4 linked regions of the Lonchura striata genome follow. The protein of the gene in region 2 interacts with the protein of the main gene of each other region in a biochemical or structural test. Links are inferred from orthologs where the notes say so. Each region holds a gene or a part of one and is shown on either strand. Other genes may lie near its edges. The genes, in order: TNIK, NEDD4, YOD1 and SGK1.

The links.
Region 1: the proteins of NEDD4 (region 2) and TNIK form a complex in vitro, tested with the Homo sapiens proteins (2 studies listed by BioGRID). The link is inferred for Lonchura striata from reciprocal best matches to the Homo sapiens genes NEDD4 and TNIK.
Region 3: the proteins of NEDD4 (region 2) and YOD1 form a complex in vitro, tested with the Homo sapiens proteins (2 studies listed by BioGRID, with this or other methods). The link is inferred for Lonchura striata from reciprocal best matches to the Homo sapiens genes NEDD4 and YOD1.
Region 4: the proteins of NEDD4 (region 2) and SGK1 form a complex in vitro, tested with the Homo sapiens proteins (3 studies listed by BioGRID, with this or other methods). The link is inferred for Lonchura striata from reciprocal best matches to the Homo sapiens genes NEDD4 and SGK1.

Annotation. Positions count from the first base shown.
Region 1 is NC_134612.1:22,735,819-22,743,820, reverse strand, and holds the start of TNIK (TRAF2 and NCK-interacting protein kinase), read right to left. Parts: upstream 3,082-8,002; 5' UTR 2,877-3,081; coding exon 2,820-2,876; intron 1-2,819. UniProt on the Homo sapiens protein: Serine/threonine kinase that acts as an essential activator of the Wnt signaling pathway. Recruited to promoters of Wnt target genes and required to activate their expression. May act by phosphorylating TCF4/TCF7L2.
Region 2 is NC_134613.1:11,478,317-11,485,806, reverse strand, and holds the start of NEDD4 (E3 ubiquitin-protein ligase NEDD4), read right to left. Parts: upstream 3,120-7,490; 5' UTR 994-3,119; coding exon 1-993. UniProt on the Homo sapiens protein: E3 ubiquitin-protein ligase which accepts ubiquitin from an E2 ubiquitin-conjugating enzyme in the form of a thioester and then directly transfers the ubiquitin to targeted substrates. Specifically ubiquitinates 'Lys-63' in target proteins.
Region 3 is NC_134632.1:2,156,495-2,164,252, reverse strand, and holds the start of YOD1 (ubiquitin thioesterase OTU1), read right to left. Parts: upstream 3,143-7,758; coding exon 2,935-3,142; intron 2,388-2,934; coding exon 1,681-2,387; 3' UTR 1-1,680. Other genes in the region: PFKFB2 (6-phosphofructo-2-kinase/fructose-2,6-bisphosphatase 2), read left to right, coding at 3,853-3,916, 4,501-4,626, 4,713-4,809, 5,157-5,223, 5,363-5,437, 5,571-5,627, 6,062-6,186, 6,643-6,850. UniProt on the Homo sapiens protein: Hydrolase that can remove conjugated ubiquitin from proteins and participates in endoplasmic reticulum-associated degradation (ERAD) for misfolded lumenal proteins.
Region 4 is NC_134605.1:58,640,316-58,647,719, reverse strand, and holds the start of SGK1 (serine/threonine-protein kinase Sgk1), read right to left. Parts: upstream 3,038-7,404; 5' UTR 2,538-3,037; coding exon 2,469-2,537; intron 1-2,468. UniProt on the Homo sapiens protein: Serine/threonine-protein kinase which is involved in the regulation of a wide variety of ion channels, membrane transporters, cellular enzymes, transcription factors, neuronal excitability, cell growth, proliferation, survival, migration and apoptosis.

The sequences.
Region 1 (8,002 bases), on a different chromosome or scaffold from region 2:
CTGTTCGATGGCCTCACTGTTTTAAATTACAGTTTTCTGCTACATTAACGATCCTCATTACCAGCACCACCACTGGAAAATTTCTGGTTTAAGAATCCTTCCTATCCTGGCACACTCAGTCCTCTGCACCCACAGGGGCACTGCTGGGTACCACGGCAATGAGCACGGTGCCCAGTGATGGATAGAAACGTGTCACAGAGAAGGCAGGAGCCAGCCCCAAGTGCACTTACTCGATGCACCAGGCCGTGCATTTTAATCAGAACTCAGTGCTTTGTTCCTGGCCCAGCCTCCAGCACATCAAGCAGATGCACTGCTGCGGTGGAGCCCGACTGTGTGGCCAAAATAAACTCTGCAGTGTGGCAAAAACGGGAGCTCCTGCCACCTCCTATGTCACCTTCCAGCCCAGATCTATAAATCCCACCTCATAAGCCCTTGGGCAGTGGCAAACTGAACTGAATGATGGTGTGCAGGGTTCTGCTTGTGCTCAGCCTTCACAACAGCACGCTGCCATCCTGCAAATACACCTCCCTTCCCTGGGACAGCAGGAGGGAAGCCAAAGCAAAGGACTGGCCAGACTGGCAGGCAGAGTTTGACCTTTCTGACACAGATTTGCCTGTGGCTCGTAAGCCTCAGCCTCCTGGAACATTTCAGTGACTCAAACTCAGAGATAAGTGTCCTGAGCGCTTCCTTTCCCTGCTGCTGGGAACAAATCGCCAGATTTTTGAGTCACTACCTGCTCCCAGCATTTCACAGAGTCACCTCTCACCCCTTTAAACACACAAGCAGCACAAAAGCAACATCTCCTACACCCAGACTCATCTACAAACCCACTGCAAAGTGACATTTCTTTTCTGATACATAAAAATTTTGCAAGGCTTGGGGAATTACTCCTCCCTGCCATGTTTTGTGCTCAGGCAGCAAATTTACTATCGATTTCTGATTCAGACCCCATGGAATGATTCACGCTTCGTGCCCTATCTGCTGAATTTACGACCTTTAACAATTATTCTAAGTGCTGGAGGAGCTTAGTTTAGAAGAAGATCTATTCCCTGGCAAATTAAGCTCCTATTCTTGTCTCGTCTGCAAACCACCACATCTCTCATCATTTACAGGAAAGTGCCACAGCAGGTCTGTCCCCCTGGGAGGGGGCAGAGGGCTGATTTGGCAGCAGCCCCGTGCTGGCAGAACAGTCACTGCTGGGCAGGAGAGCAGGGTTTGCTGTCCCAGCCCGGGGTCAGTCGGGGTTTTGGGTCCCCTTGTCTCCGGTTACCCTGAAATGCCAGCGCTGCTCTGCTCACCGACCAGGAGCTGCCGCTGGGTCTCGGGGGGGAGGGAGGAAGGGAATATACATTTCCTCCTAAAGCGAAAACAAAACCCTGACTGTAGCTGGTGCACATTGCTATTAAAAAGCCACAAACAGGGAAAAAAAAAAAAACAACAAACCAAAAAAAAAAAAAAAACAAAAAAAAAAAAAAACAAAAAAAAAAAAAACAAAACAACTTAAGCACGTCTGGATACGGCTTTAAAGAGAAATCATAACCTAGTTCAAATACAATTCCCAGCACAGATGTTAAATAAAAAAATTAAAAAAAAAAAAAAAACAGAGGGTGGGGAAGAAGGAGAGGGCCCTCTGCTCCCTAAATTATACTGGTCTCCTGAATTAACTCCACTGGCTTCAGCAACCTTTCTCCCTCTCTCCCAGCTTCCACCTAAGAGGGGAAACCAGCTCCAGGTCTGTTTTTAAGGCAGATGGTTCCCCCATTCCAATCTCATCTACACCGTGTATTGCTGAGCAATCATTTACACTATTAATCAACCAGAAACTCACCAGAAAGAAAGTAGGGCAAGTGAATAAAGATAGACTTCTCTTTTTTTTTTTTTTCTTGCACTGAAGCAAATAACATTGCTAAAAATACACTTGTTCAAGTCTTCAGCGGATTTTGCTTGATTTATTTGTCTATGCAGCGGGTTACGAGGAGCAGCCGGGCTGCTGCCTCCCGCAAAAATGCTGTTTCTCTCAATGACTCCCCATGCTCGTTCCCAACGAGCTGTTCTTACGGCCAGGAAGATGGGGAAAAGGAAGAAAGTTACACGAGAAATGGACCAGGGGGGACATCAGGCCACAGCCCACGCCGCGGCTGACACGTCTGACGAGCCTGACATTTCAAGGGTACATGCTGGGCTTCATTTTCCAGGGGGGTGAGGAGGAGGCAGCGCGCAGGGACACCGCGGGAGAGGGATGGAGAGAGGCTGCGGGGCCGGGGCGGGGAAAGCGGGGCTCTGGGGAGCAGCTCCGCAGCCCGGCCCCGCGATCCCCGCGTGTCCGCCTGCCCACGGGGGGATCGCAGCGCGGCGGTGTCCGGGTGGGACCCGCGGACACGCACACACCTGCGGGGGCACGGCGGGCACACACACACACACACACACACACACACACATGTGCGGATGCGCACACCCGCAGATCCGCGCACACATGTGCGGATGCACACACGTGTGGATGCGCGCACACGCGGCGGCGGGCACGCACATGCACGCGCACACGGGTTGTCTTACCCGCATTTACATACGTGCAGGCGCACATCACACACACACACACACACCAAGCACCGCAGACCCCCAGCCCCATCTCCCCGCCATCGCGGGATGGATGGATGGATGCATGCATAGGTGGATGGATGGATGCATGCATGCATAGGTGGGTGGGTGGGTGGATGGATGGATGGATGGATGGATGGATGGATGGATGCATAGATGGATGGGTGGGTGGGAGGGGTGCCGCTCCCGCATGCCTCCCCGCGATCCCCGGCCCTGCGCCTCACCCGCAGCGCCGAGAGGTCTATCTCGTCCAGGCTCCGCGCCGGAGAGTCGCTCGCCATATTTCCGCCGCCGGCCAGGCGGCCCCGCCGCCACCGACCGGGCAGTGGCGGCCGCCGCGGCGCTGGCGCTATTTAACGCCTCTCCTCATGCGGGGCGCCGGGAAGGAGAAGCCGCCGCCGCCGCCCCTGTCCTTCCGCCCGCAGCGCGGCTGCCTAGCGGCGGCCAGGCAGGCAGGGCTCGCCGCGGGCTGCTGCGCCGGGATGGCGGCGGCGGCGGCGCATCGCCGCGCCCGCCCCGCACCGCGCCCGCCCCGCACCGCGCCCGCACGGCCCCGCGCCGCCCCTGTCTGTCACCGCGGGGGCGGCGCCCGACCCGCCGCCAGGGGGCGGCGCCGCGCGGGGGCGGGCAGAGCCCCCTCAGGGCCGGGCGGGCGCCGCGCCGGGACCGCGGCGGTGGCGGCGGAGGGCGAGGGGACGCGGCCGGGGTGGTGGCGGTGGTGGCACCCGCGGAGGGACCCGGAGGGACCCTCAGGGCGTCCGGACCCTCCGGGGTGCGCGCCCAGCGGCGCACAAACGGGCTCGTGCAGCTCGCAGATCCCCCCCGACACTGACAGGCGCAGCGCCCGGGCCGCCTGGGTTCCCCTCACAAGGAGCCCGCAGCGGTGCCTGTCAGGTGCGCCGGGAAAAGCTGCCCAGGTTCAGGTGCTGAGCCCAAATCCTGCCAGGCAGGACGTGGAAAAGCTGCCCAGGTTCAGGTGCTGAGCCCAAATCCTGCCAGGCAGGAGGTGAAAAGCTGCCCACAACCTGCCCAGGTTCAGGTGCTGAGCCCAAATCCTGCCAGGCAGGACGTGGAAAAGCTGCCCAGGTTCAGGTGCTGAGCCCAAATTCTGCCAGGCAGAACATGGAAAAGCTGCCCAGGTTCAGGTGCTGAGCCCAAATCCTGCCAGGCAGGAGGTGGAAAAGCTGCCCAGGTTCAGGTGCTGAGCCCAAATCCTGCCAGGCAGGAGGTGAAAAGCTGCCCAGGTTCAGGTGCTGAGCCCAAATCCTGCCAGGCAGAACATGGAAAAGCTGCCCAGTTTCAGGTGCTGAGCCCAAATCCTGCCAGGCAGGAGGTGGAAAAGCTTCCCAGGTTCAGGTGCTGAGTCCAAATCCTGCCAGGCAGGAGGTGAAAAGCTGCCCAGGTTCAGGTGCTGAGCCCAAATCCTGCCAGGCAGGAGGTGGGAAGCGCCGAGGCCAGAGCAGCAGCCACGCATCCCCCTGCTTGGTGTTCCTCAGATGCTCAGTGGGATCTGGCCCTTTTGCAGATGGATGCGGATGTCACACCCGGGTTTGCTGGCCGGTTGTCGAGCTGTTCCCTCGGCACTCGAGAGCCATCCCAGCACTACCAGCTCCCAGGCTGATCCTAATTGGAATAAGAGATTGATGCTGTGTTTGTAATTGGCCAAACCGCTTCCCAAGCCAGCAATAGCTAGGTAGAGTCAGCTTTTAGTTTTCCTTATTTCCCCTTTTCGGATGTGGTTCCTGCCAAACCAGGTGCCGTATATAAATATATATGTATAAAAAAATCTGTTGCCTTTGAGAGAACCGTATGGAAGCTGTACTTACAACATCAACTTGTGTCAGGAGCTTACAATATGCAGATCTGGGAAGCGGAAACCCTACACATGAGTCAACTGGCAGGCGGATGGGATTTTCTTACACTTTCTGATTGGAGATGTGCTCCAAAAAGTAATAATAAATGGTATTGCAAAGAGTCGTGCAGTTGTGGGGAGGCTGCTGGTGCGGGAGGTGCAGCCTCACCAGGCAGGACTGAGGGACACGGAGGGAAAAAGGCCAGAAGGAGCTGCTGAAACCTCGCAGAAAAGATCAGGATTGGTGCTGCCGCTGCCCTCGGCTGGCTGGGCAGCCCGCACTGCCCGGGGGATTGCATCCCTGCCTTATCACTTACTAATCCTGATTGCAGCGCCGGCGTTTCAGCTTGCCGGGCTGCGAGGGCACAGCAAAATGTGATTTCTTTTTGGTGATGAACTGCCCAAGTCGCACGGGGCTGCACATCACCCGCAGTGGCGGCAGGCTGCCGGGATTTAACCCCTTTTCCCAAGCTACAAATCATCACTCCTTAATATCGTGCACAGTCAATAGCCCTCACTCACATATAAAGAGGTAATTTTGATCTAAATGCTAAACTCAACAAACTCCCCAATCTTTCGTGGTGTTTTTCTAGACCAGATGTTGTCTGTGTCTGTTCCAGCCCAGGATTTGCAATGTTGCGCTTGTAGTTGGGGAGCTGGAAGCAAAACTGCCTGGAAACTGGTAACAAACCAATGCGAGACTTCCTCCTGCCGTCATTGTTCTCAGGCAGAGAAGGGAGGAACAAACAGGATGAGAGAGGATGCTGGCTTGCTCTAATGTGCTTTGCATCCAAGAACACACAGGATTATTTGTGAAAAACATAAGGATTAATATATGCATATATATAGATAGATATGTCTAATCCTGCAAATAGACAGATTGCCCTGATCTCTCAGCACGAGTGCCAAGTCCCAAACTAAGCTGTGATTTAATTACAATCTATCCACTGCCTATAGAGATGGGAAAAATGTAGAGGACCCTCCTATTATCACTGAAATAAGAAATGCATAAAGCAATAGAGGGAAGTGACAGGAAAATCCCAGAGAGTGCTACTGTTTCCAGGCTGCTTGGGGCAAAATTGGAGCCATGGAGGGGAGATGTGCACCCAGTGACCTCTGGAGATGCCAGGGATGCTACATGGGCTGTACTGGTGCCCAGGCAGGCTGCAGGAAAAGCTTAAACTGAGCAGGAAGCTTTTTCCATCAAAAAATTAAATTTGCAATTTGTTACTCTTTTAGTTATGCATTTACCAATCTATCTGTGTCTCTCTGTGCACTGTTGGTTTTTTTTATGCCAGGAGCGTCTAAAGAAACCTTTCAGTTACAGTCACTGTGACTCAAAACAAAGTACTCAGCTGAAGTGGCTCAAAATATTTTGCCGTGAGTAATTTCAGCACAAGATTCAGTTTTTACCTGGCAGGTCCCCCCTGGGCATGGCAGCTGGACCCTGCTGTGTCACACCAGCTCCAGCCAGCGCTGGCACAGCTGTGGGTGAGACGCAGCATGGGCAGGGCACCACCAAGCCAAATAAAGGAACTGAGTTACAACACCCCATCCTTCATGAAGCAATAACCATGGAAGAAGCACACAGCCCTCCCAGCTCAGTCCCCACATCCCTTATCAGCTCCATTTCCATTTCTTCTGCCACATACTGGGATCATTTTGTGACAGGTCATTGTTTTTCTGATTTCATTTCCATTTGGAAAGTGGGCACATGTGAAAATTCCATATTTCCCACAGGCCTTGGTGAGCAATGAGCACCTTAATGACCCAAAGCTCTGCTGTCAGCAGTGGAGGACCCTGAAATAACTATTTTTGATTTACTCATTGAAGGGCATCAGCCCCCATATAAGCTATCCAGGTCATTTGACCTCTGCCTAAAACTAAATTTAATTATCTAACAGTGCCATCGCCGTTAATTATATTGTGAGGGAGTGTATGTAGGATGAATAAATCTAAGTGACACATAAGCCCTTGCCCAATTAGCAACAGCTTCAGGTGCTTTGGGCTTTGGATCATTCTTCAAAAGATCATCAAGATGAGGAATGAAGCAAACAGGGAAGCATGTTTGGGCACCAACATATGATTTATTCCACAATAATTCTGTGACCATGTAGCCCCAGTTTTTCTGGTGTCCTAAGTCCAGGCTGGTTTGCCCCGCTGTTAACCCTTGTAAGACAGTACTTAAAGGACTCTGCCCAAACTAAACAGAGAATGCTGAAAAATTTATACTCCATAAAATGCATAATAATTGGGGTTTAGGCTAACATGCAGCTGTGATAAAAGAGACTCAGAAATGACTGGCTACATGTGTCCTAACCGACATCTATTGATCTCAAATGCACTTTAACTGATTCATTATCACTTACTGATTGCTCGTCCTCCTGCTGATGAGGGTTCCTCTCCAGGGAGAGAAGTGTTTTTCCACTGCATCCTTGGAGCAGAGCAGGACTACATGAGTGAACCCTGCTGCCAGGATTTTTCCTATAGCTGTATACAAAAGAAAAATCCCCTGTAGATAGTGCATCACTCCCTTACTCAAGCATTGTGTAAGTACAAACCTCTGTGATTGGGGAGTAAATGGAAAATCAACAAGGGCTCTTTGGAAAACCCTTCCTCTACATATTCTTATCAGGAAACAGAGTGGTACACTCAAACAGCAAATTCCTGGGACACCACGGGGAAAGAGACAGGGGATGGTTCACTTCCAGGTTAACTCACCCACAGCACTGCAGGGTTCTTCCCCAAAATATTTGAGGGAGCAAAATATATGCTGAGGACCAGCACAGGGTTTTCTTTATGCCCCTTCTGTTGCCATTGCTTTTGTCTTCTCTTAAGGACTGCCACTGTGGACCAAAGCCACCAAGGACACTCCAGCCTGGAAGCCACCCCCAGTATGTTGCCAAAAGCAGCAGGAGTGCTTGCTGTGCCCGTGCCTGGTTTATGTAGCTCAGACTCACTCTGTGCCTGGCCTGAGCTGAAGAAGGCTTCTCCAGGGTAGCAAGCACCCACATCCTTTGAGACACTCTGTATCATTTACCAGAATGCTAAAATTTAAATGTAAAATTTCAGGTTTTAGCTAAAGCAGAGATGTTTGTAATAAAATGTGTGTGGTTCCCCAGCAGATGCAGCAGGAGCTGATGTCTCTCTCCTCAGCCTGGCTATAGCATCAGGGCTTTATCATGTCCTTTTGGCAATACGATTTTAGGTTGCTATTTGGGAACACTTCACACTACTGATGCAGGACTTCCTTTTGTCAATTAACCTCTTTCCTTTGTGCCTCATCTACAAAGAAAAAAGAAAACATTAAAGGGCGACCCTACTCTTCAGGAGGGTGTCAGGTCTTTTATAGTCATTTAAAATGTGCCAATTGCGACTGGTTAGAAACCAATCAAAACCCCATTTTTGCACTGCTTGCAGAAAACCTAACATGGCCTTGCCCCCAGCAAGCCACGTCCCCACAGTCCTGCTGAGGAATACTAATTTCTTGCCCTGCATCTCAGGGATGATATTAGTATGTGTAAGATCCAGAATGCATGAGCTGCCAGAACAGGG
Region 2 (7,490 bases):
TAATGATGCATTCAAATAAAGCGGTCGGATGTCTCTGACCTCACCAGAAGAGCAAACTGTTTTAGACAGTCTAAGTCCATTGACTGCTGTTGAAAGGAATCCCTTAGAAATGGTCTGATCATCTTTTTGTGCTAGCTCACTAGGCGAAATAATTAATCTATGAGATGTTTGATAGGTGCCTCTGTGTGGTAGTCGACCTGAGCTCACTGGAGAAGCTGGAGGGGTACTGGAAGGACTCCTAGGAAAAATAACCAGTGACGAACAACGTCGCAATGGAATTTTAGTTTTCTTTCTCACTGACAAAGCATCTTGGTCAAAAGTAGTATTACTTCTGTACAGTGTTTCCTGAGATGAGTTGCTCCTGGAGGGATTACATATGTTTGCAGTGCTTCTACATGAAGAGTCACCACAGAAAGTACTGTCACTTGTCCAAAGAGCGCCACTGTCACTGATGATACTGTTAGTATATGAACCTCCATCACTTGTGGTACTTGCACATGATCCATAGTCACTGCCAGCACTGCTGAACGAGCCACTGTCACTTGCTGCAATGCTGCTGAGGCTGCCTCTGCCCAGAGCAGCACTGCTCAGAAGGCTGTCATTAGATCGATGGTCAGACACAGGTCCAGCACCACAGCTCCCTTCGCTATCAATACCAATGAATGAAGTGTCTTCACCAGCAGCCACGACATCACCAAACCTAGAACATCCATTTTGCTTCCTAGACTGCAAGGAAATGTGCAATGAACTGCTCTTTTTTATTTGCAGTGAAGAAACAGTTGTGCTTTTCTCTTGATTAATTACTTGTTGCACTACAGGTGCATAAGCAGCTTGTCTAGGAATCAGTTTCACTTGTGTAATGCTAGGTGCAGAACTCTGTGATTTTTTGAAGTACATACAATTATTACTATCCAAAAAATCTTCAGAGGTTTCTGATAATGGGTCTGTGTTGCTTCTTTGAGTAGCAAAATGCAATCTTAACCGTCGTGCCATTTGTTCTCATTTCCATGCATGTTAGCAAATGAAACCCACAAAGATCCTTCAGCAGAAAGGCTACAGGCAGCTGCACAGAACCCAGAGCTGGTACATTGCAACAGTAAAAGCCCATAAAAGTTGCAGTCTTTGTCCTAATTTCTACAAGATACTAGCATTTTAAAAGAAAGTACCTCTTGAAATAAGTCAGCCATTCCTTGAACTGCAGTTTCTGGACCGGTCGTTGATTGCTTGCAGTCAGAAAACCTTCATTTAAAAAGCACTTATGTTCCAGAAACCTCAGCTGCGACACACTGACAAACACTACTGACCTTGTTGCAATTACACCTTCTGGAATTTGCATAAATGAGTACTATAATAGGCTTCCAGAACTTCCAAGCTGCAAACAGCAACGCCTGCTGCGGCTGCACGAGCTGAGTCAATGTGTCCGTACTTTCCTCAGCAGCGTATGACTACTAATATTTTTACCCATAGGTTTAGAATTACAGGAAGTTGGTAGGAATGAAGTCCCATATAATTGAGTATCAAGTCCAGGATTGAATTTCCAAATAGTAACCATGCTAGCAAACTGCTGAGGTCTGAATTATGCATAAACTAGTGAAATAAGCCTCCTCTCTCCCTTAAGAAAATGTTTTTCTGCACTATTTAAATAAAACTTGAAAGCAATCTGGCATTATCTTGCAATCCACATGCTGCTAAGCAATCACACTTTCTAAAGATTTGCACATAGTAGAACCCTCTGTGCTTATTAATTCATAATTTTAAATGAAGTGCAACTGAAAAGGAGCCAAAAAGAGTTTTTCTGGTTAATAATTTGGCATTTATTTTTATTTCTAGTTTGACCTTTTCTAACTGCAGCTGTTAAAGGTAGAAAGAAACAAGATTACTCTTACAAATCAAACTACCTCATCTTATTTGCTAGAACCCAGAGTAAGGACACAGTCATTACAGTTCAATGTGATTTGCAGATTTGTGACCAGCTACACAAACTTCAAAACACTGAACTAAGTACGCACAGAAAAAAAAGTGTTACCAAACAGAATTACAGAAGAAAGCTATTCTGTATAATTATACACAAACTGCCTCACAGATTCATACCATTTTTTTTTTAATTTTCATTTTTTAAAAGAAAAAGGTCATCATGTCAAGAAGTTAATATACTGTCAATTCTTCCAAGAGTAAAGAGATTGAGAATTCCTACAAAATGTTTCATTGGCTCATACAATCTGTAGAGGTCCTTTGCTGGCACCTAGTGGGATTTTTGATAAAAGACAATCTTGAATATTGCTGTTAAGTGGGATTTCTGTTGTGGGGTTTGTTTTGAAAAACACCAACATTTGGCTATCAATGTACTTTTGAATACATAAGCCATATATGATGCAGTACTGAATGCTACTGCTCTAACATGAAATTACTTAGTGCTGCTGAAAGAGTACAAACAGAAGAGAACACTAGGCCATTTATACTTTTATAGGTCATACTACTAGGAGTTTTTTCTGCTTCATATTTATTTAACCTTTACTGTATTTTAAGCTAGAAGGCAGTAAAATTAACATTTATACCTCCTTCCCAAAAAAGAGCCAAGAATCAAATTCACAGTACCTTGTTTGCAAGCAACAAACTTGTTTTCTAATTATACTCCAGGGCTTACTTAACCTCCATTACCTGAATTCCATTATTAGAATGCAGCAATAAATGAATACTAGCTTATTCATAAAAAGCCAACAAATACAACACTTCATTTATTTAATTATAACCAACAGGACTTCTTCTAAAGTTGTATGTTGCTGAGGACTGGGGATAGAAGAGGAAAGGAAAATACCATGAAAGGTTCTTTTGGTCAGTTTCAAAATGTTACATTTGTACTTCAAGCAATACAGTAAAAAATACCCATAAAACCAAACACAAACCAAAAAGATCAGCAAATGATCCTAAGATATGTGAGCAAAAAGTAAAAAATGCATTTCTTAAGGCTTCTTCTCTCCCCAAGAACAAACATATTAGTGGCACAGTTTGTAACATATTGCTGTAATGCAAAGTGCAACCATTGGAGGTACTTGTTTCTTTTAGTAAAAGCATTATTTTTTCCCCTAGTGGATGATCTGAAATGTTTCATTCAATTTTACTAAAGAAATCCTAAAAAAACAATAAACTGGCATAATTTTTGGTAACTCAAGGCTTAAGATTCCAGCAAAATTTCTCAACACGTCTCTCTTCCTTAGCTATACCTGTATAGGTATTGCCAGCCAACTACAGCTTTCTCAGGCAATGTAAAATGGCTTTTAAAGTGTTAAAGTCAATGTTGCTGAATTAGAGTTGGCATAAAAGTACACTAAAAGTTAGTATTTTTTAATATATACCAACAGTTCCATTTAAAGCTTAATAGAATTGATTTCTTCAGTATCAATAACCGATTTAGGCACTTAATTTGCAATATACTTAAATTTTGTAAAGGTATTGTAAGACAGATGGCAAGAGACATGGTCTCTTCACTGACTCACCTCCTAAGTGATTTCAATGTTCTTCTTGACATTCTTCTAGTGTGTTCTTAAAGACAGCCACAATTAAAGACTCCACAAACTGCTCAAGCCCTTTATTCTTTACTGCAAACCCAAGGGTTTGCATGTCAGAAGAACAAACCAAATTTAGCACTCCTTTATCAAATCCAAAACAAGTGATTTTTGAAAAGTCTTAAAGCTATTACAGGAAGATTTCAAAACTCTGACTAGGGGCAATATAACCAATGCAGCAAGACCAACACAACAATTAAGCTAAACTCTGAAGAAAGGTTTTGAGGTTGGTATTCAATAACACAACTTTTTTTAAAAACAAGCAGGTATTTCTGGCTTCCATTTATTCCTAAAGTTAAAGAGAATAAATGCACTTGGGATAAAATTTTGTAAAGAGGAAATTAACCATTAGGAGGACACAAATATAAAGAATATTTCAATTTTATCAAACTGCTAACATTTAGACTTTAAACAGTCATCCAAAAGGTAGATGAAAGAACACTGAAAATAACAGAATGAAATACTAAAATAACAGAAGATGAAATATCTTTTGATCATAGCTACTTAGCTATGATCACACATACTTACCTATGATTTTCATCATGTGATGATGAATTAATGGAAGTGGGGGAGCTTGCCAATGCTAAATAACAATCATAGCTAAGGCAACAATTTATCTTGCTTAGAACAACCCAAGACATCTGGAATAAAAACATTTTCTGAGAGCAAGCTGAAGAGAAATAGGGAGATGGTCTTAGAGTGACTGATGAGGTCATGACACTTTGATCTCTAAATAAAATCATGCATAGGAAACAAAGCACCATTTCCCAGCTGATACCAACAAAATCTTTAACTGGTTCCTCTCCATAAGCAAACAGATCAAATAATTTATAGATTAGATAAAGAATGTGAAGGAGTTCTGTTGGAAAATACCAAGGAAACACCAGCCTTCTGCCCCCAAAAAATCAATAATCCTACTTTCTAATCATGCCTCGTGGCTTCCAGGTGGTGGCAGCAATGCTCTAACCAGACATAAAATGGACAGAGTACTTTGACGTTGTGAAGGATATGCTGTAGCCCATAATACTATGTCCAGATGAAAATCTAAGCATCCTGAAAAATCATATTTAACTTCCCATGTAGAGACAAGTGCTTATGATTCCTTTTAAATAAATCAAAGAGACACTGTATTTTAAATACTTGAGACCGGTAATATCACCAGTTAAGCATTAAATGGTCTGGGGACTGTGTAATGCCTATAACCAAGAAACAAGCCTCCTCCTTCTTAAAACTCATTATTCCAGGCAGTTTGTACTTACATTTACACACATTTTTACTCTTCCCAATCTCAGAAGAGCAGCATCTTGATAAAAGATACAATGGTTTACTGAACACATGCAGAAAACTTTAACAAGAAATGTTCTTCATGGCCAACACACTACTCAAACACAAAGCACTAAGAGATCCTTTCTTTGGAATGAAACTGTGTTTGTCATGCAAAAGCATTCAATCCCTCCCTTTAGTTCCAAACTCCTGCAGAAGGAAAAGGTATTTATTTCAGTGACAAGGAACATCAGTGAAACAGAGGCAAGTGTCATGGCTGTACTGCTACAAGCTTACGTACAATGCAACACAAAAACAAATACAGGCAACCAGACATCTGGACACAAAATGAGAGCCTGGGTCAGAGGAGGAATGTTGATTTCAATTAGATAAAAGCACAAGCTAGCCCTATCTCACCAGTGACCTGCCATTCAGAGTGACACCTATCTACAAGGTTGCAATCCATTTCTCTCTTCTTGAGCTTTCCAAAGAAAATCCATGTATGCTGTCTTTGATGCTACTCCTCACACACTGAGGAAGCTTCTCACACCACATATCAATACTGCTTTGTTGACAGGGAAAAATAAACATCCAATACAGAGCTTTCAATATCACCAAAGAATTTGGTCACTATGAAAGAATGATGCTTTCATGAGTTAAAACACATTAGAAGTTTTAAAATAATAATGTCACAGCTTCAGGAGTGTGGTAATATCATATAAATAATCAGGTCTGCCTTTAGCTTTAGGTTTCATTATAGAAATTAAGGTTGTTTGGAGTGGGTTTTTTATCCACATTGAATCCTGATGGACTGCTTTCATTCAAGTCTTTAATACACTGCAAAATGAACATAAAAAGACCTACCAAACGGTTTTCATCAAATACTTCAAAAAGGAGTCTGTGCTTCTGAGGATTAACCTATGAAAAATAAATATAGTGATAATTAACATATGTACTGAATTTCAGCACTTGTCTTCAGCAAAATCTCTGTGTTTATGCAGGAGGAAAGAAATACCAAAGGTCTTTATTAAACAGCAAATTTATACCTTGCTGCCATTCTACTTTGCAATGTTTTTCTATTTGAACCAATAAACCATAACTGGTACTATCCCAAACTGTTTCTAAGTCTATGCACATGCTTTTAAACATTCACAGACGACAGAAGGCAACACCAAGACTGAAAATTTCACATTTGTCTCAGAATTAACAAACATATTTCTAAGGACAACAATTTGTGAGCCTTTCAGAACATTAATTGTAGAGTTATTTCCAAATTAGGGAAGAGTTCTGAAGTGGGGAGAGTGGTGAGTAGTTTTTCTCAATGTGTAATACATCCAACATGTAATAAGGCTATAAACAAAATCACTTACTCTAAATAAGAGTTCTTCATTCCATTTTGGGTTTAAGGACTATGTATGGAGGAAGGAAAAAAAAAAAAAAGAGAGCATTAGTTATACTGACTATTTTGTACAATTTTTGATGTATTACACATTTTATTCCATGTAACAATCCACTTAAAAAAATACCTTTAACCTTGATAGTGCTGGTAAAAGTCAAAGGAGTTTAATGCTGTTCAGAATGGACACAATTTATGCAGGTATTGTCATATATTGGCTATGTCATGGATGTAGAGAAGGTGCTTTAGACACTTGGAAATAGTTAATTTAGAGTATGTCCCTTCAGTAAATAATCACTGCCTTCCTCTCAGCTCAACACCCACATTACTTACATGCAAACTCTTACCAAATGCCAAATCTCTAAGCAACAAACTACACAGACCAGGCACAGATGGGCCAAACACAGCAATAACTCACTCAGCTAAGCTCATCTTTGAACTGTGATATTTAAAAAAATACTACAGATAGTTTAGCTACAAAGGGAGTTTAATATAAGAATTATCAACATGGAAGGAAAAATGCATGAGCCCTCATAAATCACAGCCACTATCCAGAACAATTTGGAAGAGTGCTTTCCCTCTCATATATACAGTTCTTCATTGTCAGTTAAACTAAGTTAGCAGTACTGACTTTTTCCTGCATGTATTCTAGAAAATCAAGGAGTATCATGATTCACATGAATGGTGCAATTTGATGCTTAAACAGAACAAACTGTTTTTTAACATAAGATAAAAAGTTGTACAAGAACAAAGATTCTTATATCATTAAAGAGCTCAGAAAAATCAGAACAATCCAATACTTCCATTAATAATGTAGTTTTGAATCAGTACTCACCTTATATTCTTCAGTTTTTCCTCTACCTTTCAATAAAATTTTTGAAGAGAAAACACCACAATAATGCCATAAACAGAGAAACTGAGCAGACCATAGAACACTCCCTTCAACACAGCCATTCACTCAAAATACATGAATTCTTGTATTTCCTATAGCTTTAACTTTTTCTCTGGAGTCTGTTTTTAAAAAAAACCTTAACACAATACCAGAAACCCCAAACAAACCCCACCACACCCACACAGATAAGATGACTAACCTTTCTAATAGTTTTTGTCTGAATACTGGTAAGGGCTCCATTCACTGGATCATACAATGTCACTTTCACATATGGGTCACTGGTAGGGGAAAAAACAAAACAAGTAGAATGCTGCTCTATGCCCTTTTTGGTCACCATTATCAGCAGTCAAGTTTTAAAGGCTTAAATTTATAGCAG
Region 3 (7,758 bases), on a different chromosome or scaffold from region 2:
ACTGAATTAAAAACAAACCCAGTCCATAGTGCTCTGGGTGATCCTAGGCTGTTTAATTATTCATGCCTTAATTCAGCAAAGCACTTAAGTAATTACCTTCTTTCTTCAATAAAACCCTCCTGTATTTCAAGATCCAACTGGAGCCTCTGCTGAGAACTAGAAATATGATTTTTGCAGAAAAGGTGGTGTTGCTGCACCAGTTTGGTCAGTGCCCGAGGGAACAGAGCCCTTTCAAACTGGGTTTTAGGTTCCACGTGGAAAGTGGATTTATATTTCTGCCTCAGTCCAAGGACACCCCTTCTTGTTCCCCAGTCTAAAAGTGCAAAGAAGGTCACTCAAAACAGTAAAAGAAGAATGGCAGGCAAAGGATATTTTAAAATTTAAGAAATAAGGACGTGTTGCAGGCATTTCAAAGAAAAAAAAACCAACATAAATCCCCTTCAGTAATATGCACCTTTACAGCACCTTTTGAAAGCCCTCGCTGTTCAGCTTCACGACCCCACCGTGAGGTAAGATATTCCAATTAAACCAATTTCACCTTCCCTGATTCTGAACAGTCCAAGGAGTGGGGCACTTTTCCCAGCTTATTTTCATCTGAATATTCAGCTGCACCTTTCATTATCACAATGAAAGTCTTGCTACTCCGCAGTCAGCGGTGGCAAATCAAACACATTAAGGCAGAAAGCAGATGGAATTTCAAGCCTCCCTTCTGGCTCTGGCCTCCAGAGGGCAAAACTTTTTACCAGCAAAGAGTGAGAACTCAACCTTAAAGTGCTCATTCACAGTATTTGGAAACTGGAACAGCTTAGTAACACCATGGCCGTGATTGGCTCTGCTCAAGTAAAATACTCAATGTATTTAACAGATGCAAATTAAGTCACTTCCCTAACTACTCACTTCCCTCTTGCAGGAATTTCCAATGCAATTATGAAGAATCCCAAGTATTCCAGGAAACATGCTTATGCTCTGATGCAGTGTAAACACCAGGGGATTAAGAGTTATTTTTCAAGCAACTAAAAACTACCTACGGAGGATTAGTAAGTTTTATTCAACACTTATTCATCTACTCATTAATTTAAAGGCTACCTTAAAGCTTAGAGGCCATTGCTTTCCCTAAAGTTCTCTGCACACAAACTACACAGTCTATTCCTGACGGTACAGGGCAGCTCAGAGATCCTCTTTCCACTACAACTTATATTTTGTTATTGTACTTGATATTTCCATTACAAATCACGCACCACACGAGCATTCTCCCCTCTGAGAGCTGCTCAGCCTAATTCTCAGCGTGAGTGCAAAGCCTAATTCTCAGTGTAAGTGATGCTGACATGAGTGTTTCCCAAAGCCTCAGATTAATTGAATTACCCTGAAAATGTACATTCAGCACCTCAGAGGTGGATTTTACACCAGTGTTGGACAAGCCTGTGTCTGTGTGCTCAGATCACACACACACACAGAAAAGGTGATGAAATCAAGGTGTGGCTGCCACTGTCCACCACCTGCCCAAGTGCCATCCCTATTCCCAATCCCCTATTCCCAAACCTGCGCCTCGGCCACCGTGAAGTTAATTCGCTTTTCAAGCTCTGTGAACGGAATTTTATGATTACAAACAGCTTATCTGGGGACTCCAGAATTGGATTCCGGAGCGCTGAGGTAGTCGATGGCACCCTCCTCCCGCCGAGCTCACACCTCCCCGAAGTTGGTGTGTCCAGTCTCCCTGGCGTGCTCCCTGGCCTCCAGCTGCCCCGTCAGTCCCTTCTGGCACACCATGCAGCGCAGGGCGAAGCGATTCACGTCCGTGAACTGCCTCTTCCTGCGCGCCTCATCCGCCAGCTCCAGCGCCTGCGCCAGCACCACGTCGTCGCTGCTGGGGAAGATGGTCTGGGGAGGAAGGTCCGAGCCGGGCAGGCGCCGCTCCAGCGGGTCGTAGTGGATGCCGTCGTAGATCAGCAGCACGCGCTTGCTGTAGCCGGCGTCCTCGCCGAAGCGGTCGATGCGCACGGTCTGCGTGTCCACCACGCAGATCTCGCACTGGTAGAACTTGGAGAGGATGGACACCTCGATGGCTCCTCCCCAGGTCTCCTCCCTGCGGATCCAGTCACAGTATTCCCTGTTGGTTTTACCCAGCACGGCCTCGCTGTAGGACTCGGGGTCGCTGGCCACGATCTGGGCGATGAGGTTGCGCATCTCCGGGGCGCAGCCGGGGTCGTACACGCCGCCCTCCACCACGTAGGACACGCTGGTGAACAGGCAGGAATTGTCTGCTGGCACCACCCTCCTGGCCAGCACAGGCACGGCTTCCCTGACAGGCTGGGACATTGCTTTTTTGGCCACCACCGGCGAGTCAGGCTCGGGTTTGGATGTGTCCTCTTCCACTATGAGAGTGTCACCTGCCAGAAAGAAGCGGGGATGGGTGAGAGAGGCGCAAAGGGGAGACTTAAAGCGGCTGCTGCTCCTCAAACACAACAACACGGCCGTGCTGTCCCTGCTGAGGATCCCGGAGGAGAACCATGGACTGGTCTGGGGTCCCAAACACCACCCATCCCCACCCCTGCCATGGCAGGGACACCTTCCACCAGCCCGGGCTGCTCCGAGCCCCGTCCGACCTGGCCTCGCACACCTGGGCCCGTTTCCCCCGGCTCGGCGTCCCGCCGGGAACAGCCTCGGCCAACAGCCGGTGGCAGCACAACGGTCCCCGCGGGACTCACCTGGCGCGGCCGGGCCCCGTCCCCTCCAGCCCCGCGCTGCTCCCCGCGGAGCCCCGGCAGCGGCCAAAGCACCGGCGGCGAGCAGGAAGCGCCGCCGCCTCCCCCGGCAGCAGGAACCGGCCCGACCGCCGGCTGACGCGGGGCGTGCGTGCCACGGCCTCTTTAATTAACGCAATTACAGCCGGCGGGGCGGCAGAGCCCGCAAAGCGCCGCCCCCCGCGGCCCTCACCCGAGTGGATGCCGAGCTCGCCCAGCCGCCGCTCGCCGTCGCTGAGGTCGAGGCTGCGCGGCGGGAAGCCGTGCAGGAGGCGCTGCGCGGGCGCGGGCACCCCGGTGAGCGCGGCCAGCGCGGCCTGCATGTCGCGGAGGCGGGAGTGCGGCCACAGCCCCGGCAGCGCGTGCGAGCCGCTCCGGGCCTTGCAGCGCAGCCGCAGCATCCTCGGGGCCGCCGCCGCCGGCCCGGCCCGCCCCGCTCTCGCGAGAGCACGCCGCGCCCCGCCCCCGGCGCGCGTTTGCATACAGCCGGGCCGCGCGCCCGCCCTCCTATTTGCATAGAGGAGGTGGCACCGCCCATTCAGTCTGCATGCAGCCGGACGCCGCCTGCCAGCTCATTTGCATAACGCCAGGCGTTGCCGTGAGTCGCGGTCCCCGCCCTTCCCCGATGATTACCGCCCATGTGATTTGCATAGCCCGCCTGAATTTGCATAGAGGCGCGAGCTCCGCTCCCCTTTCATCGCCGCCCATCTCATTTGCGTGGCGCGCGCGCTCCCGTTCCCCTCTCGCCCCGCCCACCGAAATTTCGGTCTCATTTACATACAGCGCGCGGCTCTCCCTCCAGGCCTCATTTGCATACAGCGAGCGGCTGCCCCGCCCTCAAGGCCTTATTTGCATGCAGCAGCGGCTGCCCCGCCCTCCAGGCCTAATTTGCATACAGCAAGCGGCTGCCCCGCCCACACGATCTCATTTGCGTACAGCGCGCGCCCCCGCGCGCGTGACGCGGGCCCGTTTTCCCGCCCCGCCGCGCCCCTTTTCCCGCGTGTGCGGTCCCCGGGACCCGGTTTCCGTCGCCGCTCCGCCGTGTGCGAGCTCCGCCGCTGATTTGCATGCGATTTGCATACGGCGGGGCGCGGAGCGGCGGCGCGGAGCCATGTCGGCGGCGCCGCGGGGCTGCGCCGGGGCCCCGCGGGGCCGGGCCGGCGAGAAGCAGTGCTGTGAGTAGCCCCGGCCCGGCGGTGCGGGGCAGGGTGCGCGCTCCGAGCCCTACGGAACCGCGATCCGCGGCGGGAGGGGGGAAGGCTGCGCGCGTCTGCCCCGAGCCTCGCGTCCCTCCCGCGGGTCCCCGTCCTGCCCCTGCCCCGCTCTCCCCTCCCGCCGTTTCCCCGCGCCCATCCCCATCCCGTGCTTTTCGCCCCAAATCCGCCTCTCCGCGGGCCTTTTCGGAGCTTGCTCGGGCTGCTTTGCTGAGAGAACGTGACCGTTTTGTTAAAAACATCTTTCGTTCGCCCTTGACGGCGCCTGCCCGGGCGGCAAATGCTTTTAACACTAAAAGCCCCATTAGGCAGCGGTGCTGCCGGTGCGCCTCATTAGCAAACACCTGGGAGACCCAGAGTGATCACAGCAGCTCATTAACGACAAGGACACACCGCGAGCCCGTCCTGGGATGCGCGGAGGTGCTTTATCCACCGGGACACGGGGTGACGCTGCGCTGGGTCTCACTTTATGCTCTGCAGCGCCCCTGATGCTGTTTTGGGGTGGTTTGGGGGCTTTTTTTATTTTCTTTTTTTTTTTTTTGCAGCATGGGCTTCCTACATGACCAACTCCCCTACGCTGATCGTGATGATCGGGCTGCCCGCGAGGGGCAAGACCTACATGTCCAAAAAGCTCACCCGCTACCTCAACTGGATCGGGGTGCCCACCAAAGGTGGGTGTGCGTGTTTGGGGACATCCCTGCCCGGGCTGTGACGCCTGCCAGCGGAATGCCCTCACCCTCTCCTCTCCTCTGTGAAGTGTTTAATTTAGGGGTGTATCGGCGCGAGGCGGTGAAGTCCTACAAGTCCTACGACTTCTTCAGGCACGACAACAAAGAGGCCATGGAAATCCGCAAGTGAGTCCCTGTCAGGGGCTGGGTGGCTCCGGGGAGGGCTGGGGATGCTGGAGTCTTGGCAGGCTGTGTGCACGAGGAGCAGAAAATAACCACGAGCGCCTGGGGAAGGAAGAAGGAACAGCACAGCCTGTGCAGGGATCCTGCCAGGGATGGGATGGGTGTGGGAGTTTGGGGCTGCCACAAAGCTCAGGGTCAGGCCACACAGTGGAGGTGCCCCAAGATCTCTGGGGCTCTTAGAACGGTGCAGGGGTGCGAGGGAGGTGTTTGAATCCCTCCCTGCTGGCTCAGAAGCTTTGCTGTGGGAATGCTTTCCATCAGCTGTGACCATCCCTATTTCTGTCCTGCAGACGCTGTGCCCTGGTGGCTCTGGAAGATGTGAAGTCTTATCTCTTGGAGGAGTGTGGGCAAATAGCTGTAAGATCCTCTGCACTAAAAATAATTTTACACCAGGGCAGTTCAAAGCTGCCTGGAGTGTTCGGGGACCTGATTTGGAGCTGGAGTTTAAAAGTCTTAAGATGAACTTGCTCAGTACTCCTTCCTCATTTTTTGCCAGGTGTTTGATGCAACCAACACGACTCGGGAGCGCCGAGACCTGATCTTAAATTTTGCTAAGGAAAATGCTTTCAAGGTAATGCTTTAATTGTGTGTGTGATTAATTGTGCGTGTGATTTGCAGTCGCTGTGCTGAGGGATGCTGTGGCTCCCTGGCACAGCAGCTCTGCAGTTTTGACTCTGAAATGTGCTTCCTTGCCTCCTGCCCAGGTGTTTTTTGTGGAGTCTGTCTGTGATGATCCGGAGGTCATCGCTGCCAATATCCTGGTGCGTGCTGCCCTTCCCAGGCTCGGCTGCTGTTCAGGCTCCCAGTGCAAGGTCACGGGCTCGGGGAGCTCGTGGGGATCTCTGTGAAATCCTCCCTCTCTCCTTTCACCTGCGGGACAGGAGCTGGGATTTGCAGGTTTATTAAAAGCCAGAGATGCCGTTATGTGAGAATGTGGAAATCCAGAGGAGCCGGGAATGGGTGACCTTGGAGCGCTGTCCTGGCGAGGGAGGGAGGGCAGAGCTCTGAGCCAGCGGTGTCTGTCAGGGCCAACCCCTTCAGTGCCTTAAGAGTCGCCCTTTGTTTTCTCTCCAGGAGCAGGTTTTTCCTCAGGGCAGCGTCAAACAATGTGGATTTGTTTCAAAAGAGGGGAATTTTATTCATCGTGGCTTTTCTTCCCTCTTGAGTTTGCTTAACTCGGCTGTCTGTTGGGCAGGAGGTGAAAGTTTCCAGCCCTGACTACCCAGAGAGGCACCGGGAGAATGTGATGGACGATTTCCTGAAGAGGATCGAGTGCTACAAGGTCACTTACCAGCCTCTGGACCCGGATGCTAATGACAAGTGAGCAAATCCCTTGGCACATCCCTCTGTCCTTGGGCACAGGAGCTGCTTTGCTGTCAGGATGCTCCAACACCTCTGCTCTCCCCAGGTGTGACTGTGTGCAGGTGAATCACACGTCCCAAGTGAGATCTGAAGGGATTTTTCTGTGTGTGCTGCAGAACCACAGGATGGTTTAGGTTGGAAGGGATCTCAAAGAGCCATGGGCAGGGACACCTTCCACTATGCCAGGCTGCTCCAAACCCTGTCCAGCCTGGCTTTGGTCACTTCCAGGGATGCAGGAGCAGCCACTCTGTGCCAGGGCCTCCCCACCCTCCCAGGGAAGGATTTTTAAGGCCAGCAGTTCTGAGCCTGTCCTGCCTTTCCTAGAGGAGCAGTAGCTGGGTGACCCTTGCAGGTGCTTGTGCCTGGTTTTTCAAACCACCCATGTGGGTTGTTCTTCCTTTATGTCCACTCTAGAGATCTTTCCTTCATTAAAGTGATCAACGTGGGCCAGCGGTTCCTGGTTAACCGAGTGCAGGACTACATCCAGAGTAAAATTGTCTATTACCTGATGAACATCCACGTCCAGCCACGCACCATCTACCTCTGCCGGCACGGCGAGAGCGAGTACAACCTCCTGGGCAGGATTGGAGGGGACTCGGGGCTGTCGGCCCGGGGCAAGCAGGTAGGTGCCCAGCTGTGCCCTGGTGATTTATTAAAAAAATGCGGATATTTGCTGGAACCCCTGGCCTGGTTCAGGGGCTCCGTGTGGTGGAAAAATCTCTCCTCCAACCCGTGCTTCCAGAGAAAGGCTCAGCAGTCTCTGTTGTTGGGTCTCAAGGCAGTTTATTGCAAGTTATCTAAAAGATTTACTTCTGGAGCTGCTGTGGTTTGCTCACAGCTCAGGCAGAGGCACACACACACCCTGACATCCTCTCTGACCCCGACTGCTTCTTCTCTCCCTGCCAGGGCTGCTGCTGTCTTTTATATGGTACATTACGTGTGACATGGTTACAGTTTTTCCCCAATGCCTATTACCTATATTAAATGGTGCTTTTCTATCTTTTATATGGTACATTACGTGTGACATGGTTACAGTTTTCCCCAATGCCTATTACCTATATTAAATGGTGATTTTCTATCTTTTATATGGTACATTACATGTTACATGTTTACAGTTTTTCCCCAATGCCTATTACCTATATTAAATGGTGCTTTTCTACTCTAAACCAATCTGTGAGTGCCAACATCACCAAGAACATGGAGGTAAGGAAGGAGAAAGAGGAGGAACAGGATCAGCCCAGATCCCAAATCCATCTTAAAACTTCTGACCCCCGTGTACAAAACCAAAACCCCCCTGTACAGGTGTTAAAACCCCCTTGTACAATACTAAAAAATTTTCCCCTCTACTTTGTGACTACTGCTACTATAATATCTAAACTTTTGTGACTCCTTGTTCCACCTTCAAGGTTGGTAAATCACTCCATGGTTCAAGCCCAAAATCACAGCTGTTTCCAGCTGCCTGCCAGGGTCTCAAATGCTTCTGACCTGGGCCCGGAACCTCCAAAAATGTCTGAGGGACATTTTGAGTTC
Region 4 (7,404 bases), on a different chromosome or scaffold from region 2:
TAGAATTAGACTTGGAAAGCACCTCTACTAGAAATATGTGCTTTTGAGGAGATAGACGCAGTGATTTCAAACTGGAGAGATTGAAGCCCCAGCCCTTGTTTCATCATAGACCCTGCTGGTGATCTGGACAAGCCTGCTCAGTACCCAGATAACAAATGACCTTCTCTGTGTGTCAGGCATCTTTCAGTAAAGAGGGATAGCAGTAACCTCACCGAGCAGCCAGGAGTGCCAGGCTCTGCAGTGCAATTCCTGCCTCCCACTCTGGATGGAGGATGCATCCCCTGGGTTGCTGGTTATGGTGCACTGGTGCTGTGGGGATGCAAACTGTCAAACAGCTCTACCACACACTACACTCAGACCAAGAAAGCTCACAAATGTGCTTCTATACACCAGGATTCTGGTGGTTCAGCCAGAGTGTCCAGATCACTGGCAGGAGACCAAATAAACTCTTGAACCATCTCTCCTTGTTCTCACAGTAGTTAACATGTGACACATCACCAGTCCAGCAAATGCAAGATATATTTCTGGGAGCCAGCAACACATTATGAGCATATAGCTATTTTTGTTTGTGTGTGTTTCAAACACTGGCATTGGACAATGGGGATTTTCTGCAAGGAAGGTAAGAGGGGTAAGAGAAACATCAATGAACACATATATCTATTAACAGAAAAGTATAGGGAGAGAATTCCCTTCTTTGTGTCTCTAAATTGGTTTTACTGATTTCATCTATCTTCATCACAATAGCAAAAAGGCAGCATCTGTTAAAATGAAAACATTCAGAAACCAAAGGCAGCTATTTGTCCTGTTCCACTGTCCAGGACTGTATCAGTATGACAGTTTCCTCAATTATGACTACAATTAACAATCTCTTTCAACTGTAAATTCATGGATTACCAGTGTAGGTCTGAAAAAACCCAGAAATCACAATTTTCCCTTCTTATAGAACAAAATTAGGTAGAGGTTTCCAGTGATAACTTCTCAGTGACTCTAAAAAGATAGAAGACAGTTGACAATACAGGAACCTTATACAGGAATTGCAAGACAGTTACTTTCCTCTTTAATAATACAATTATATTAAAATCTTCAAGCAGTTAAAAAAAAAACAACAGATAACCTTGCTGGTAAGCTGAGTATCAGGTAAACATGTGCCAATAGTAATGTACTTAAATGAGAAGCATGTTGGGATGACAACCATTTTTAGGGGCTGAATTTATGTGCTGTTTGAGTTATCAGTCTGAGGCTTCTACAAACTGCCTTGGAAACAACAATTGTTGGCTAACACTGCATTTTTTTCCTCTGAGTGACCCAGCTAGTATTTTCTATATCTGCCCTTAAATGTGGCATCTTGGTGCCTGAAAGGGTTTGACCCCAGCTTACAAATTAGTTACTGGTGTAGGCTTCATTATTTTTGCCTGAAGGGTTAAAAGAACTGACCATATTCTTGGCATAATGGAGGGAGAGTGAATGAATGAGGATGAATGAATGAATGAACTAATGAGTGAATGGAGCAGCTTATCTGCTCCTACTCCAGTCTGTTTAAAGAGAGGGTTGTCGTTTTAATCACTCAGGAAATCCTTTCCACAGTGTAGTCCCTGCTAACAATCTCTTTCTGATGCTTTGCTTCTGCTGTCTGGGTCTACCCAGATTTATTCAGAATACCTGTCCTGATGCCACATGGAAATGACTGCTTCTCAAGTAAATAAAGAGTGTGCAGTATTGTCACTAGAAAAGAGTCAAAGAAACAGAAAGGACTTAGCTAAAGCGACGAGATAGAGTTACACCTGCATTTCTTGGAGAAAAACAGAATAAAATGCATAGCAAATATTTTCTGAATCCTGATGTATCTATGTTAAAGAATATAAAAGAAAATCAAATCCAGGTGTAGCTCAGTCTTACTCTTTTCTCCTGCATGAATTATGATTACAGTCAAATTAGAAACTGTGAAGTATTTTCCTGAGCTTACAAATGCTTCTTTGTTCTCTTTTTCCCCCTACTTTGTGAGATGATGAATGGATGAGGGTAATGCTACACTTCAGGAAAGTAAATGGAAGGTGTGGAGGGAGTCATAACCCTAGGTGGATGTGGAGCAGCGAGTCAGAGGCAAGCTGCAACATCCCTGCACTCTGCTTTGGAGTGCATTATCCCAGCCAGAATAGCTGCCTGTATTGCGTCAAGCCCTGGGGTCAGCCGTGACAGAGATACACATTCCACAGCAAAGAGTGCTGATGTAATGCCTTTGGAGCCCCCAGCCTTGTCCCCCTGCCCTGCTCCTCTTCACCTACACTGCTATTACCCTTGGTGTTCAGTAGAACTGCCCATGCCATGGGCTCCATAAAGTAGAAGACCAACATAAAGCACTTTCATTCTTCAATGACTTTCTCTCTACTCTGGCTGAGTAAGAAACACAGCAATAATAAAAGAAAAGAAAAAAGAAAAAAAGAATTAAAGGAAAATCTGGAAAATCTTACCCTCTTTTTAAAAAACTGAAAGGCTGAGCACTTCTTGACTGGAAATCCATTCATGTCTTTGTTGACCATTTTCCACAGTGAAGGGTACACAGTGATAGATCCAGTGTGCCAGTGTGGCACTTGTTAGTGCATCTGTTTTCCTCTGTATTCTTTCAGCTAATGAAGACAGAGCAGGGCAGGAGACTCACCGGCATGGCTCAGGCAGCTGTCCTTTACACATTCATCCTGCTGCACCAGCTACTGCAGCAGCAGCACAGTGGCAGCAGCAGCTCTCACATGCAGCTCTCTATTAGCTTCTTAAAACCATCCCCTAAATACATATCCTCCTGTAAAATCCTGTGACAGCTCTCAGATCAGAGGCAGCAGACCTCAGGCTAAGTGGGTCTCACATAAACCCGGGTCCATCCATCCTGTGAGATTTACTGGTACCACATGCTGTATAAGCATAGAGGATACCGTGCTTAATTTGCTATTTTCCTTCTTCAGGTGGTGCAATTCACTGCTGTTTGAGATGAGAGCTGGTTTTGATTGTGCAAATTTCAGTGGGAGCTGCAGTTCAGTAATAGCAGAGAGAGAGAGAGGGAGGGAGACAGGGAGGGAGGGAGGGAGGGAAGGGAAGGGAAGGGAAGGGGGGGGGGAAGGAGAGAGAGAGCGAGGGAGAGATGCACAGGCAGAGCAGCCAAACACAACCATACAAAGGGTAGTAGGAAGGCTCAGGGAAAGAAGTGCTGAAAGGCAATATCTTTCCCCTGGGATAGTGACAGAGGTAGCTGTCATTTTATAGGTGAACAGTCTTTGAGTAAGAAGAAAAGAAACACAGGTCAATTAAAAAAAATGTTTTTCTTATGTTCTGATTTAAACAGTGTTACTTTGGAAAAAAGCCCATCCAATGATCAATGTCATACTGGGTTATGTGACAGGACATGCTGTAGATAGTTCAATGAGTTTAAAGGAAACCCACAGTTCCTATAAAGTACATTTCTTATATGTGGTGCAGATAAATGTGACCCAAGCAGACACAGACACATTTGTCCAGATATTTCCATAGAAACATAGATATATATCTTTGAAACCCAAAGGGTTTTTCATTAGAAATAGGACTGAAAGAATCTTGAAAAGGCACCTTTTTAAACTTCCTTTTTATTAAATTCAATTGAGTTAAATGTCACCAAGTCCAGTGAATCCAATAATATGTGTTTAACTGAACTGTAAAGTCTACCTTAATTAAGTTACATTTTCCAGAAAGGTTTGGAAAATAAAATAGGGTTTTCATGACCTCCTATCAGCCTATGTTCCAGGTTAATAAACCTCAGTTTCAAGAAAGGACCTAATTTCTAATTTCTAATACTGATCTGGCTTCTCGCTCGAGCCAAAACTTCCAAGATTGGTCAGCCCTGTAATATAAAGTATTTTATATATATATATATATGAGGATATGAGGATACTTGTCTAATTTAAATCATCTCTATGTTTAGGTAAATAAACTGAGCATTTCACATTTTTCAGTGGAAGTAATTTTAAGTAGTCTTTGAAGATATTGTGTCACTCTTCTTTGCCCCTTTTATCCCCTCTTTTGAAGATCCTTTGATAATAAGAGCTGTATATCCTATTCAAGTGCAAGGTTCCCCTTATTGCATGTAGAGAGGTAAAACTATGAACATAGAGAATCCCACAGGTCTTTGGACCTGCGCAACTCACTGGAGACTCCAGGCTGAGCAGATTGTAGGCTATGACCTTTTTTACAAGTCAACAACATGTATTTCCCAACTTTGTACCTTTAGCTCTCCATCACTGTTTATAAACAATTTGGCTGCACTCATCCTAGACTTCAAATTTCTTAAGGATGTAGTACCACAACATTCATTCAAAACCTCTTTTCCTCATACCTATTTCGCCATTTTTTCCCTTTTCTTTTCCCATCCTTTCCCATCCTTTTCCTGTCTTTCCTCTTTGTATTTAATTTCAGTAGTCACGATAATACTCTGAGAAATATTTCTTGAGCTCAGGTTAAAAATTCTGGTCAAAATTATGAGGGGAAGGTACAGCCTGATCCCAGGTCACAAATGAGAACACTCATTGGGAAGCTACAGTTCAATGTCCAAGCAGCACAAAAGACATAATCTTGATTTTGGATGTTCTTACAGGACTGTCTGAAGCAAGGAGATTAAAAGCCAATATCTCATCAGAATTGTTTCACTTTATATAACTAATTGTCACTGAAGCAAGGACAGAGGGAATTTTCCACTCTGCTGCTCTGTCTGGGGCTAATGGATTTTGCCAAGGAGCAATTCAGCCCGGCCCTTAAAAACTGATCAGAAATTCAGAGTGCCCAGCTAGAGGGACATTGGGGAGGTTTTTAGAAAATACGGAATTCTCAATATGCATCAGCAAGTCTTCCCTGAAGTGAGCACCACCCTCCTCCACCTTGCAGCCAATCCCTCAGTCTTATTGATCTCTCATAATCTTTTGCTGTGCTTTAGAGCTGTCAGAGCTATATTCTGCTGCTTACAGATAGAGCTGTAGACAATGGCGAGTGCCCAATTTCTACTGGTGGTGTCTCTCACTATTCTGAGCACCACATGCTTCGTTGGCTAGTCTGAAATGCAAGAAAATGATTGTCAAAAGAATGACTTTCTCTCGGGCAAACCAGGCAGCTTGCTATGCACGTACATTTATTTTTGAGATCTTTGATCTATTCAGCCACAGCTTTGATCTGTCTCTCAGCCTCAGATATTTCTCCTGCAGGCACTGCCTTCTCTTTCACAAAAGCATTTGTGTTGTCTCTACCTTCTCCATAAGATTTCCAGCCTGCTGATTGAAACACCATTCTCCTTCAAGCCTCCTAAACCCAGCACCCTGTAGGCTGCTGGGGGTGGAGACTGCTGCTGCGAAGATATCTCATGAGTCCTGGTGCAAGGGCCTTGGCCCCAGACCTTTTTGGCTGTTTACTTTGTTTGGGTGCTTGCCTCTTTTCAGCTGAACAAACTATGCCCTTAAGTTAATTTCCATTAGAGAGAAAAAACTCCAGCTGCTTTTTAAGTAGCCTGATAGTGATAGTTTTAAAGTACTGTAGGAGTTATTTTTTGATGCAGGTGCATTGCTGCAAGGGGAATGGCCTAGGACACTATCCCTGAATCACACAGAGCTCTCCTTGGCCTCCTCAGGATATCTATATTTTGACTGGAATTCTTCTCAGCTGGAATCTCATTGACTCTGTGGCCTCCAAGGAGTTTATTTCCAAACATTTTTTTTTTTTTTTTAATACAGTATCAATCAGAGTGCAACTCAGTGCCTGCAGAGCTTATATCTAGCATTGGAGATCAAAAATATAAAATAGGAGGAAAAAGGGAACACCACATATTTGTTTTTACACCAGAAGCCAAATATTTAAAGCCAGAGATATTTTTACTAGAAAAAATGTTTCACTTTTTTTTATGATGCCAAAAGCATGGCTTCATAATTAAACCTTAAATGAGCATAAAAATCCATGTTCACTGCATTTAACTTCAGTAAAAAGGCATAAAAATTGAGTAGGAAAATAAGAATTTCAGCCAGGACAACACACTCAGCTGTGCTTTATTGTGATTGTCACAAAACATCAAGGGCTTTCATCAGCCTGGTGGACTGCCAGATATACCAAACACTTTAAACAAGTCCTACAGGTACTGCATGCTTTAACACCCTTTAGCGGTTCCCATTAAATTGTCATATACTCCGCAATGATAAAATAAGTTTTTCATTAGGGCAGTCAGGAGAGAAATACACATGTATCATAGCTACAGAATTTCAGAGAGCTGCAAAACACATGGTAGCATTTGAATTCCTGTGAGACAGCCCTGCAGGGAGAGCATGAAGGTGTTTTTCTTGAAGATCTTCTTGAAGAAATAACATAACTTTTGACTGACGTAGTATGCAAGGGGCACTAAGCCTGGGCCAGAATTCTCATTCTCTTGTTGTGCCTCTTATGAACACAGATACCAATAATTTGCCTTGCTTTTAAATGCTTACAAGTGCAATGTCACAGATAACAGGTGGTAAATCAATCCAGGGTTTATCATAGAACAAGTAGATTACATTGACAAGTTTAATTAGCTACGACCTTAACAGACTAAATCTTTTTCTCCCACTGACTGAGAAGAATGCTCAGTATGAAGTCACAGTTTTTAGTATCACAGCCCTTTTTTTGCAGTTCCCTTTGCTGTGCTTTCAAAGTTGCTTACATCTCTGGCAGGGGCCAAAACCACATGTGGCAAATCATCTCTAGAATGTTATGGGTTCTTACACAGCTGCTCAGTCTGTGAGTGCTGCTTCCTTCACTTCCTTTGTGGGCAGGGAAAGGTGGATAGTTTCCAGCACCCATGACTGATATTTTACTCTGGTATGCAATGATAAAGAAAGGCACAGCTCGTTTATCAGAGTACACCAGGACCAGCTCAGAAAGTAAGAACAACAACTGAAGAGAGCAGAATGGGTGTTTGAACATCTTCTATGTCCAGAAATGTCTAGTTGAATGTCCATATGGCTTTCATCTCAGCTCTGCCTTAGAGCAGCTCTTGACACTTCTGTGGTTGCTCCTCTAGCTTTGGTCTTGTTGTGTGGACACTGCTCTTAGGCCAGCTCTCACGTGTTCTTCATCTTGTATTGCTCACAAGCATCACTTGTTCCCCAGTTTCTACTTGTATTTGACATCCCTGCCCCTGATCATATGCAGCTCAAGACCTCATGGAGTGCATGGTGCAGCTTGTCAGGCAAATTTTCCCACCATTCTTCCTCTGTGCTTGCTCCATATGCTCTCCCAGTCACTGTGAGGAATGGGGCACTGAGTGACATGGCAACAACCCCAACAAAGAGCCTCCACATTCACACACCAGAAGTTAAAGCTGGAGATACAATGCCTAGCAATAAAAGACTAACATCAATAAAATTGTTGGGAAGA